2 linked regions of the Xenopus tropicalis genome follow. The protein of the gene in region 2 interacts with the protein of the main gene of each other region in a biochemical or structural test. Links are inferred from orthologs where the notes say so. Each region holds a gene or a part of one and is shown on either strand. Other genes may lie near its edges. The genes, in order: rnf185 and cgas.

The links.
Region 1: of the proteins of cgas (region 2) and rnf185, one has a biochemical effect on the other in vitro, tested with the Homo sapiens proteins (2 studies listed by BioGRID). The link is inferred for Xenopus tropicalis from reciprocal best matches to the Homo sapiens genes CGAS and RNF185.

What each region holds. Positions count from the first base shown.
Region 1 is NC_030677.2:151,998,877-152,003,241, reverse strand, and holds the start of rnf185 (E3 ubiquitin-protein ligase RNF185), read right to left. Parts: upstream 3,115-4,365; 5' UTR 3,034-3,114; exon of another isoform or gene 2,973-3,033; intron 1-2,972. Other genes in the region: c1h12orf43 (protein CUSTOS), read left to right, coding at 3,171-3,264. UniProt on the Homo sapiens protein: E3 ubiquitin-protein ligase that regulates selective mitochondrial autophagy by mediating 'Lys-63'-linked polyubiquitination of BNIP1.
Region 2 is NC_030681.2:91,836,949-91,841,224, reverse strand, and holds the start of cgas (cyclic GMP-AMP synthase), read right to left. Parts: upstream 2,933-4,276; 5' UTR 2,837-2,932; coding exon 1,943-2,836; intron 706-1,942; coding exon 492-705; intron 1-491. UniProt on the Homo sapiens protein: Nucleotidyltransferase that catalyzes the formation of cyclic GMP-AMP (2',3'-cGAMP) from ATP and GTP and plays a key role in innate immunity.

The sequences.
Region 1 (4,365 bases), on a different chromosome or scaffold from region 2:
AAACTGACAATCTAAAACTACTTGGACTTTATTTTGGTCTTAAAATTTAGTGTGAGGCATTAATAAAATAATACATGTTAAGATAATGATATAGATGTACACAAGTTTGAATGATACAAACAAAGCTAAATGACGAACATGGGAAATCTGAATTATGAACACTGCCTTTGCAACAACCATTACATCAGTTGTAAGAAATTGCTCAAACCATGCACATAAAAGCCTTACCAAAAACACTATGCACCGCACAGCATACAAAAACATTATTATAACACACATTTAAAAAGCACCAACATATTCTTTTTACGCACTTTAAAAATACACCTACAGAAAGTTTATAGTAGGGATATGAAAACATCAACTATTTTTGTATTTTTCCACAGGGTTAAAGAGTGTTTATATATATATATATATATATATATATATATATATATATATATAAAAATAATTGTACTAGTTGCCAACTGTAGCCATACAGGCAGGGGAAAGCAACTACGTAGAAAAACAAAAGGCCAGAGAGCTGTGCTTGATATGAACAGATAAACATAAAAGTAACTTAATTATACTAGAAGCATAAACAAATATAATCTACTTAAGAGTATAAAGTGATTACCAAGTGTCTACGCTGACATGAGCAAGTGACTTAACATACCCTCACTCTCAGCAGCGACATGGCTTAAACAATATGGTGACATATCCAGAGATGCTCTAATAATGTTTTAGGGTGAAGACACACAGAGCTACTTAGTAGCGGCTACTTGTCATGGCTGCTAAATGCCAGAAAAATACCCTGCCATAGACAATACTGAAAATTGCCCCTGCTAAAACACACAGAGACAATTATCAGTAAATGATCAGTATTGTCTATTTTTGTAGCTGTGACAAGTAGCTGCTACTAGTAGCTCTGTCTTCACCCTTAGGGCAGTGGCAGATGGGGAGATTAATCGCCCCGCAACAAATCTTCATTACCGCAATGGAAATCGCCGGTGGGATGGCATATGTGTTGCTACGATTTCCCAAAGCCGCCTTTAAAGGAACTTTTGCCAACTTCGGGAAATCGTAGCAACACGTATGCCATCGAAGCTGCAATTTACATTCTTGCCAGTGGGATGGCATTGTGGGGGGATTAGTCGCCTGCGGTAACGAAGATTTGTCGTGGGGCAATGTCTGCCACTTCCCTTAAGGGTGAAGACACATGGGGCTAATAGTAGCAGCTACTTGTTGTGGCTACTAAAAAAAGACAATGCTGATCATTTACTGATCATTGTCTCTATATCTGCTTTAGCAGAGGCAATTCTCGGTATTGTCTATGGCAGGGTATTTTCTGGAGTTTAGTAGCCTTGAAAAAGTAGCTGCTACTAGTCGCCAGGGTTGGACTGGGGGGATGCAGGGCCCCTTGGGTTCCTGCCCCAGGGGCCCTGCAGGTGCCCCCGCCAGCCACGTGCCTCGCACCCCCTAACACCTCCCCCTGCAGAGCCTTCCTAAGCCCCTCACCCGATGTCCTCCCCTGAGTGCGCGGAAGTTTAGCGTGTTGGGAGGAACGGTCAGCCGGGGGAGCGCCGGCAAGGGTCGGGTCTGGGCCGTCGGGGCTCACCCTAAAAGAATGTGCAGGAATATGTTCACAGATCATCAAATTCAAGTGTGCCCTAAACATGGGATAAATGGGAGGATTGTTTATTTTTGTACACAGAGGGTTAAGCACGAAACATCGTCAGATCCGCCACACACAGTCAGGGCTGAAACAGCAGATAAGGAGGTAGAAACAATAGGATTTCTACCTCCTTCTGCCGATTCAGCCCTGACGGCAGATTTTGGTCAGGCGCCTTCTATGGCGCCCGATCAAAATTTTCTAACCTGGCCGATCTGTGAGTCGTCCGATATCAGCAGCTTCCTGCGATATCGGTCGACTCGCCGACATGCCATACACGCATCAAATATCGTACGAAACGAGGTTTCGTACGATAGTATTGGTGCGTGTATGGCCAGCTTTAATGGACCCATGGAAACCAACTCCACAGTACTAAGAAAAAAAAAATGTATATATATATATATATATATATATATATATATATAATTCACAATTGGTCCGCACTCCCTCCTTGTTCACGTGTCTGGTAGTCTCAATGGGTGCTGCATCTGGTTGTTCCATGTATACAATACTCCATGAGTTATGCGCACTCCAGAGTGCGCATAACTCATGGAGTATTGTATATATATATATATATATATATATATATATATAACAGATACAATAAGTTATCCTTTATGTAAAATAAAAATTCATAGTAAAATCCATAAAAAATAAATGGGGTTCCAAGAACAGTAAGAGTTTTCAAGATGCATTTACAGTGAAACCTTAATTTTACATACCCCGATATTTAAAAAAATGTTGTGGCCCGACCGATATGCTTGGCATAATGCATGTCTCTGATTATACATTTGCCTGGTGCAAAGAAAAACGTTAATGCGGGTTCTACTGTATTCATTCATCATTCCCAAAGTGGTGAGTGCAAGCGGTGCTGCAAATAAGAATGAATAAAACCTGTAGTACTTTACACTTGCATAGCAAGCACCATACGTCCAAGTCGGAGACTGCTGCTGTCTAGAGCTTTACTTCAGCAATGGGCTGCACAGAGGCGCACGTCCGCCATCACTGGACCAAATTAGCACCTGACACTGGGTACAAATGCTGTGACAGCACTATGTGTGGCACTCCTACGTTTGGTTAATGAATGTAGAGGAATCACAGCGGATGTTTAGCAAATAAACCAGTCGTTTTATGAGGCTAACACAACACTGACACGTAGGGCAGGTATCTGTGCGTAAAGGTGCTAAATTACTCTGATTCACCATACAATTTATAACCAATCAGGATGTTGGGAACGGCACAGCTGGCGGGGCGCAGACACACACTGAGCGGCACGACTGTAGGTGTTTTTACGTGCCACCAGAACTCGGGATAACTATTATACCATTTGCAAGCAGTCTCCAGCTGAGTTGTTGCTATCGCCAACTAAATGTAAGTCGTCCTACCTCCGGTATCACCGACTGTAGAGCAGTCCAACTAATCTCAGTCACTTCCACCTCTCAAACGTCACATCCTGCTTTTCGAACAGGAAGCGGAATTCACATAGACTTTTCGGCGTGTTAGTCACGTGACCACAAGCAAGATGGCAGCCCCCATAGGAGGCACGCAGGATAGTGACTCTGATAGTAGTAATGAGGATCTCGAACGTTTCCGTGAAGCTGCCTGGGTACCACCAGGTATGGAAATGAAGAGAAGCATGTCATCAATGAGAAGGATATAACATTAATAGGATTAGTGCAGAAATGTGGAGATTGGGGGGTTCTCATCTTCTCTTGCTGCTTTTCAGGCAAAATATTGTTACATTATGCGGCTCTCTTTGGTTCTCCAAGTTGATCTATTACTCTAACATTTTCAGATGTCCAGTGGTCCAGTTTCCCAACTTCCACTAAATAGGAACCAGGATATAAAGGGACTGTAGATGCCAGGAGAATTGCGAATTTGCATTAGAATGTAATGTATTGACCGTATCTTTGTATGTAATACTGGCACGGCAAAACAGCATTATATGTACTAAGAGGCATGGATACTGGCACCAAAAATTAGATTATAAGCAGATGGTAGCAGTGGACATTGGCATCACAGAGTCCATTATGGGGCTTATTTATTATGCTGTGCAAAAAAAGGCAACAAAATCACATCCCCAAAATATTGGGGATGTGTTTCAAAATGGGGCAATGGTTACATTCACTATCCTTAAAGGAGAAGGAAAGGCTAATAAAGAGTTAATCTCAAGCTGCAGGCATACCTTCAGTTGTCTCAATAGTGCCCTTAAGTCTCCCCATACTTCACCTGTTCAGAAGATCAGAAGCCAAACAGGTAAAAAAAACGCTGAGTAGTGTAGAGAAGATTCCCATAATGCCTCGCTCCTTCCCAGACTTGGCGACTTGTTACTGTAGGCGGCGAATGTGCACACAGCAGGAGCGTCTGGTTGCCATGGCGACGCAGTGACGGAGAACTCTGTGACATGCAGGTGCGGGGAGTGGCGGAGGGTTTGTGGCAGGAGTGGGGAGCGGGGGGGAGTTTGTGGCAGGAGTGGGGAGCGGGGGGGGGAGTTTGTGACAGAAGCGGGGATCGGAGGGGGGGCTGGCTTGTGCTTTTCAGCCCATACAGACATGCTGGACAAGATGGCGGCGCTGTTCACTGAAACAAGTATGTAGGTTCTAGTATGTGTATCTCTGTAAATCTTTCATTAGGCAAGCCAGAAATATAGCATTTTACACAGCAATAGTAGTACTATCTAATAGTGTGCTTAATAGGTTTTGACTTTCCTTCTCCTT
Region 2 (4,276 bases):
TTTCACATTAAACTGGCTTTCTTCCAGTGTAAATGTCTGGCCTCTTGTACTGTATTCATGTCTGTGTAAATATATTTTTGTTTTCTATTACATTTAATGTGTTCGCAAAGAGGCCAAAGCCAGCATTAATTAATTATTTCTGTCCTTTAGGGTGAAGACACACAGAGCTACTAGAAGCAGCTACTTTTTCATGGCTACTAAGGGTAAAGACACACAGAGCTACTAGAAGCAGCTACTTTTCATGGCTACTAAGGGTAAAGACACACTGAGCTACTAGTTGCAGCTACTTTTTCATGGCTACTAAATTCCAGAAAATAATTTTCCATAGAAAATAATGAGAATTGCCTCTGCTTAAACGCACGTAGAGACAATTATCAGTAAATGATAAGAATTTTTTCTGATCTCTAAACTCAGGGTGCTTTTTTTCTAACGCTGGGATTTCTTGTTAGTCTTTTAACAATGAATTTTTTTAGAGTAGAAAATGACCATACCTAATCTGCTGAGTTTACTCTTGATTAGCTCTCTTAATCGATCTAGCATTTGTTGGCCAGAAATCTTTCCATTTTCAACATAGTTTGTTAAAGGATGCTTTGGATTTCTGTTTATTGTTAGTGTGTAGAAACTGCCACTGGCGTCTGACTCTGAAATGCGAAGTCTTCCACATGGTATTTTCAGCATGATGTCAAATTCGTTTGGCTTTGAGATCTGAAAAATGTAAAGGCACGTGTTGTTAGATTTTGCAAAAATATGCGTAAAACAGTGTTTCTTTTACATTTATATGGTCTGAGCTCTCATTAGCTCCTAACAGGATTAACTTTCAAAAAAATATATATAGACGGGTAAAGGTTTTGCCAACCTTTGGTCCCCTGGGCATAACTTAGTCCGCTAGATTGGGTCCTTAGTGATACAAGGGAAGCTGTTTCAAATAGGGCTACATATACTGTATAAGAAGTCACTCGCAAGTGCAAGAAAAATTGCTATTTATTTATTGTCCAAAGCTACTCATTGCACTTGTGCATAGGCACACTGTTTATTTGAAAATGGTGTGTAAGTGCAACCTTGGAGCTACCACCACACCTCAAAGGTAGCTCTAGGTTCCCACAGAGGCTTGCGTAAATAAACACAGTGCGCCAAGACAAGAGAAATAAAGATATCCTGACAATAAAAAATGTTTTTGCAATTGTGTCCAATTCTTGCCAAAATGCATGTGTACTTATGCACCCCTCACAAATGTGTTGGATATATGTCTGTGGTACAGCCTATTGTAATATTAGTACTTAGTTGTGACAACCTATTCTGCACATGGGAATAATTTAAGCTAGGCTGGTTTTATTGATCTCTCAACTTGCTATCACTTTTCTTTTTCTCGCCACAGTATATCTATTAATTTAAGTTCAATACATAATATATAATATTTTTAAACCATTTGCTATTTCACTTTATCGTTAATTTGTTAATTCATTTGTTCTTGATAGTAGTGGTGTAACAATAAGGGAAACAGGGTTAGCTTCCTTTATTGTTGCATATAAAATTCCGCTTGCTGAGGGCTCTCAGGTAGGAGACTGGGCGGGGAGCAGAGATTTATACACAAGTGGTGGGGGGAGGTTTTGCGGGGGGGCCTCCATAGATTCTTTTTGCGGGGGTTAGAATAGTTACGCCACTGCTTAATAGCACACATATTTTCTCAATAGCAAACATTTCTTTTCTAGTTTTGTCACATTTTTGGAGCACCTGCTGGTTTTTGCTAACTAGAGTTGTCCTACATTATTTACAATTACTTAAAATGCTTTGTATATTCTAGGAGTTATGGGGTTTGTTAAACTATTAATCAGTCTTAATAAAGTCTTATGTATTAGCTAAAAATACATTTTACATTATCAGAAATTTAGCTGTAGTATTGTATTTTGGAACCTAATGTCCAAGTTTACCAAAAGTTCCTTACCTTAACTTTTTCATAGTAGCTTCCAGTGTTCAGTATCTCCATACCTTCGAATGCAGGATCTTTAGATGATTTGATGAATTTATCTAAATCTTTAACCAGTTTTTTCACCTGTTCTGCTGCTTTTGAGATCTCATCCATTTTCAATTTCTGCATCTTAAGTGTACGGTTCAGATGTTTAGTAAGCTTGTCATCATTTTCGCTCCCAGGTTCTGCATTAGCTTTATTCGCCATATTTATAGCTTTTTTACCTTTGATTAAAGGTTCTACATCAGCTTTCTGCAATGCCTTATTTTCTCCATCCGTTGAAAGTTTTCTAACTGTCATCTCAGGTTCTACGTAAGCTTTATCTAATGCCTTATTTCCTTCACCTGTTCTATCCTGCTTATCCAAGGCCCCGTTATTTTGTATACATGTTGCAGCATTTTCAACTGTGCCCACAGGTTTTTTGTCAGCTTTGTCTGATGCCCCATTTCTTTTGATGCCAGCACTAGGTTTTGTAATTGCTTTCACAGGTTTTTGGCTAGCTTCATCTTTTGCCCCATCCATTTCCTTGCCTTCTGTAGCTTTCATGGGTGAGACTGCTGATTCATTGTCTGGTGCCTTCATTTTGCTTTTGCCTTTTGTGTCTTTTAATTTTGTTTTTGCAGTTTCATTCCCAGCCTTGTCTGGTGTCCTATTGCTACTCGTACCTTCTGTAGCTTTTCCGCTTTTGCTCACAGAAGCTTTGCAAGCCTCTCCTTTTGCACTGTTTTTCCTGCTTGCTGTCGAGTTTCCAGTTGTGATCCCAGAGGCTTTACTCTTATTCGGTGCCTCGGTAGTGCAGGAATTTATTTTGCTGCTGGTTTGTCTTTTTATTCCTATGTACTTGGGAGACTTTTCTTCCATTTCTTTCATTTAGAATGGGCAAAACCTGGCGAATTTCAGTTTCCTTTGTGTGCTGATCCCTCCCAGTATGGAACGTCAATATGAAGAAATGAAAGTCTGCCTGGAGCATTTCTACTAAATTAACTATGCAGACTTCCTGTTAATTATGAAAGTTAGATATTCTGTGAAGGGATTACATTTGTGCTGACTGGTTAGTTTGTATGTGCAGTAAAAAAGTGTTAAATAGCTTTCTGCAAGCAGAGCTTGATATGTGGTGTATATTACATTTTCTCTTTTAAAGTAAAGCATGCTGAATATACAAAACTACAGCAGACACTACTGGTTATCTGGTGTATCAAGTGATCTGATACCAAAAATAAGCCTTCACTAAAGTAAACAAAAACTACTACAAAACTACTACAACTACCTATGTATGCTACCAATTACATTGCAATTGTAATCAACTTGCTTTTCAATTCAATAAAAAAGGGATAAGTATTCTTTATTAACTTTATTCAAAATCCTTGTGTTTTTTAACTGTTGGGTTTAATTTTTTTCAAAAGTAATTGTTGTTTTTGGTTCTTATTCACAAAGTTTGGTGAACTATAAGGCTTACAACAGGTTTGCCAGAAGTTACATTCCTTTGTAATTAACCTCAGTTTGAGGTGGGTGGGGTTTGATTAGTTGACCATAACAGACTGTATAAATAGAACCACTGGCACTCCAGTGGAGCTTGCTCTGTTGGTAGGTGCTCTGTAAGTGATTGCTCTTTAAGTGGGGGCTCTATAACTGGAGTTATAAACACAGGAGTTAGTGGGGGCTCTATAAGTGGAGTTATAAACACAGGAGTTTCAAACTAAGGGAGTTTAAAACAAGGTACTAAGTTAGTATTTACTACAAGTCTTTTCACCTATTTTTGTTCCTGTAACTGGGAGAATGAGTGGCAGCAACATTGAAGGGGAGCAACAAATGGATGACAGGGCAGTAAGCTGGGTGACAGTTAGACAATCTAGTGTGGGGAAAAGGAAAAAGGAGGCTGCTCCAGGCTTTGCGCATCCCAACAGATTTGCCAGATTGTGTGAAGAAGATGGGAGTGTGATCTCTGGACTGGCGGTTCTAGATGAGGCTGATCTCTCTAACAGCCGGGAGACTAGTTTCTCTAGTAGTGGTGGGGAGGAGAGCAGAGCTAGGCCTAAACAGATGGTGGTTATAGGTGATTCAATCATTAGGAAATTGGACAGGGTAATCTGTCGAGCGGATCGCTTCAACCGAACAGTTTGCTGTCTTCCTGGTGCCAGGGTTCGGCATGTGGTTGATCGGGTTGACAAATTATTGGGAGGGGTTGGGCATGACCCGGCTGTCTTGGTACATATCGGTAATAACGACAAAATGAACGGTAGGTGGGGGACCTTAAAGAGTGAGTTCAGGGATCTTGGCTCTAAGATTAAGGAAAGGTCCTCCAATGTCATT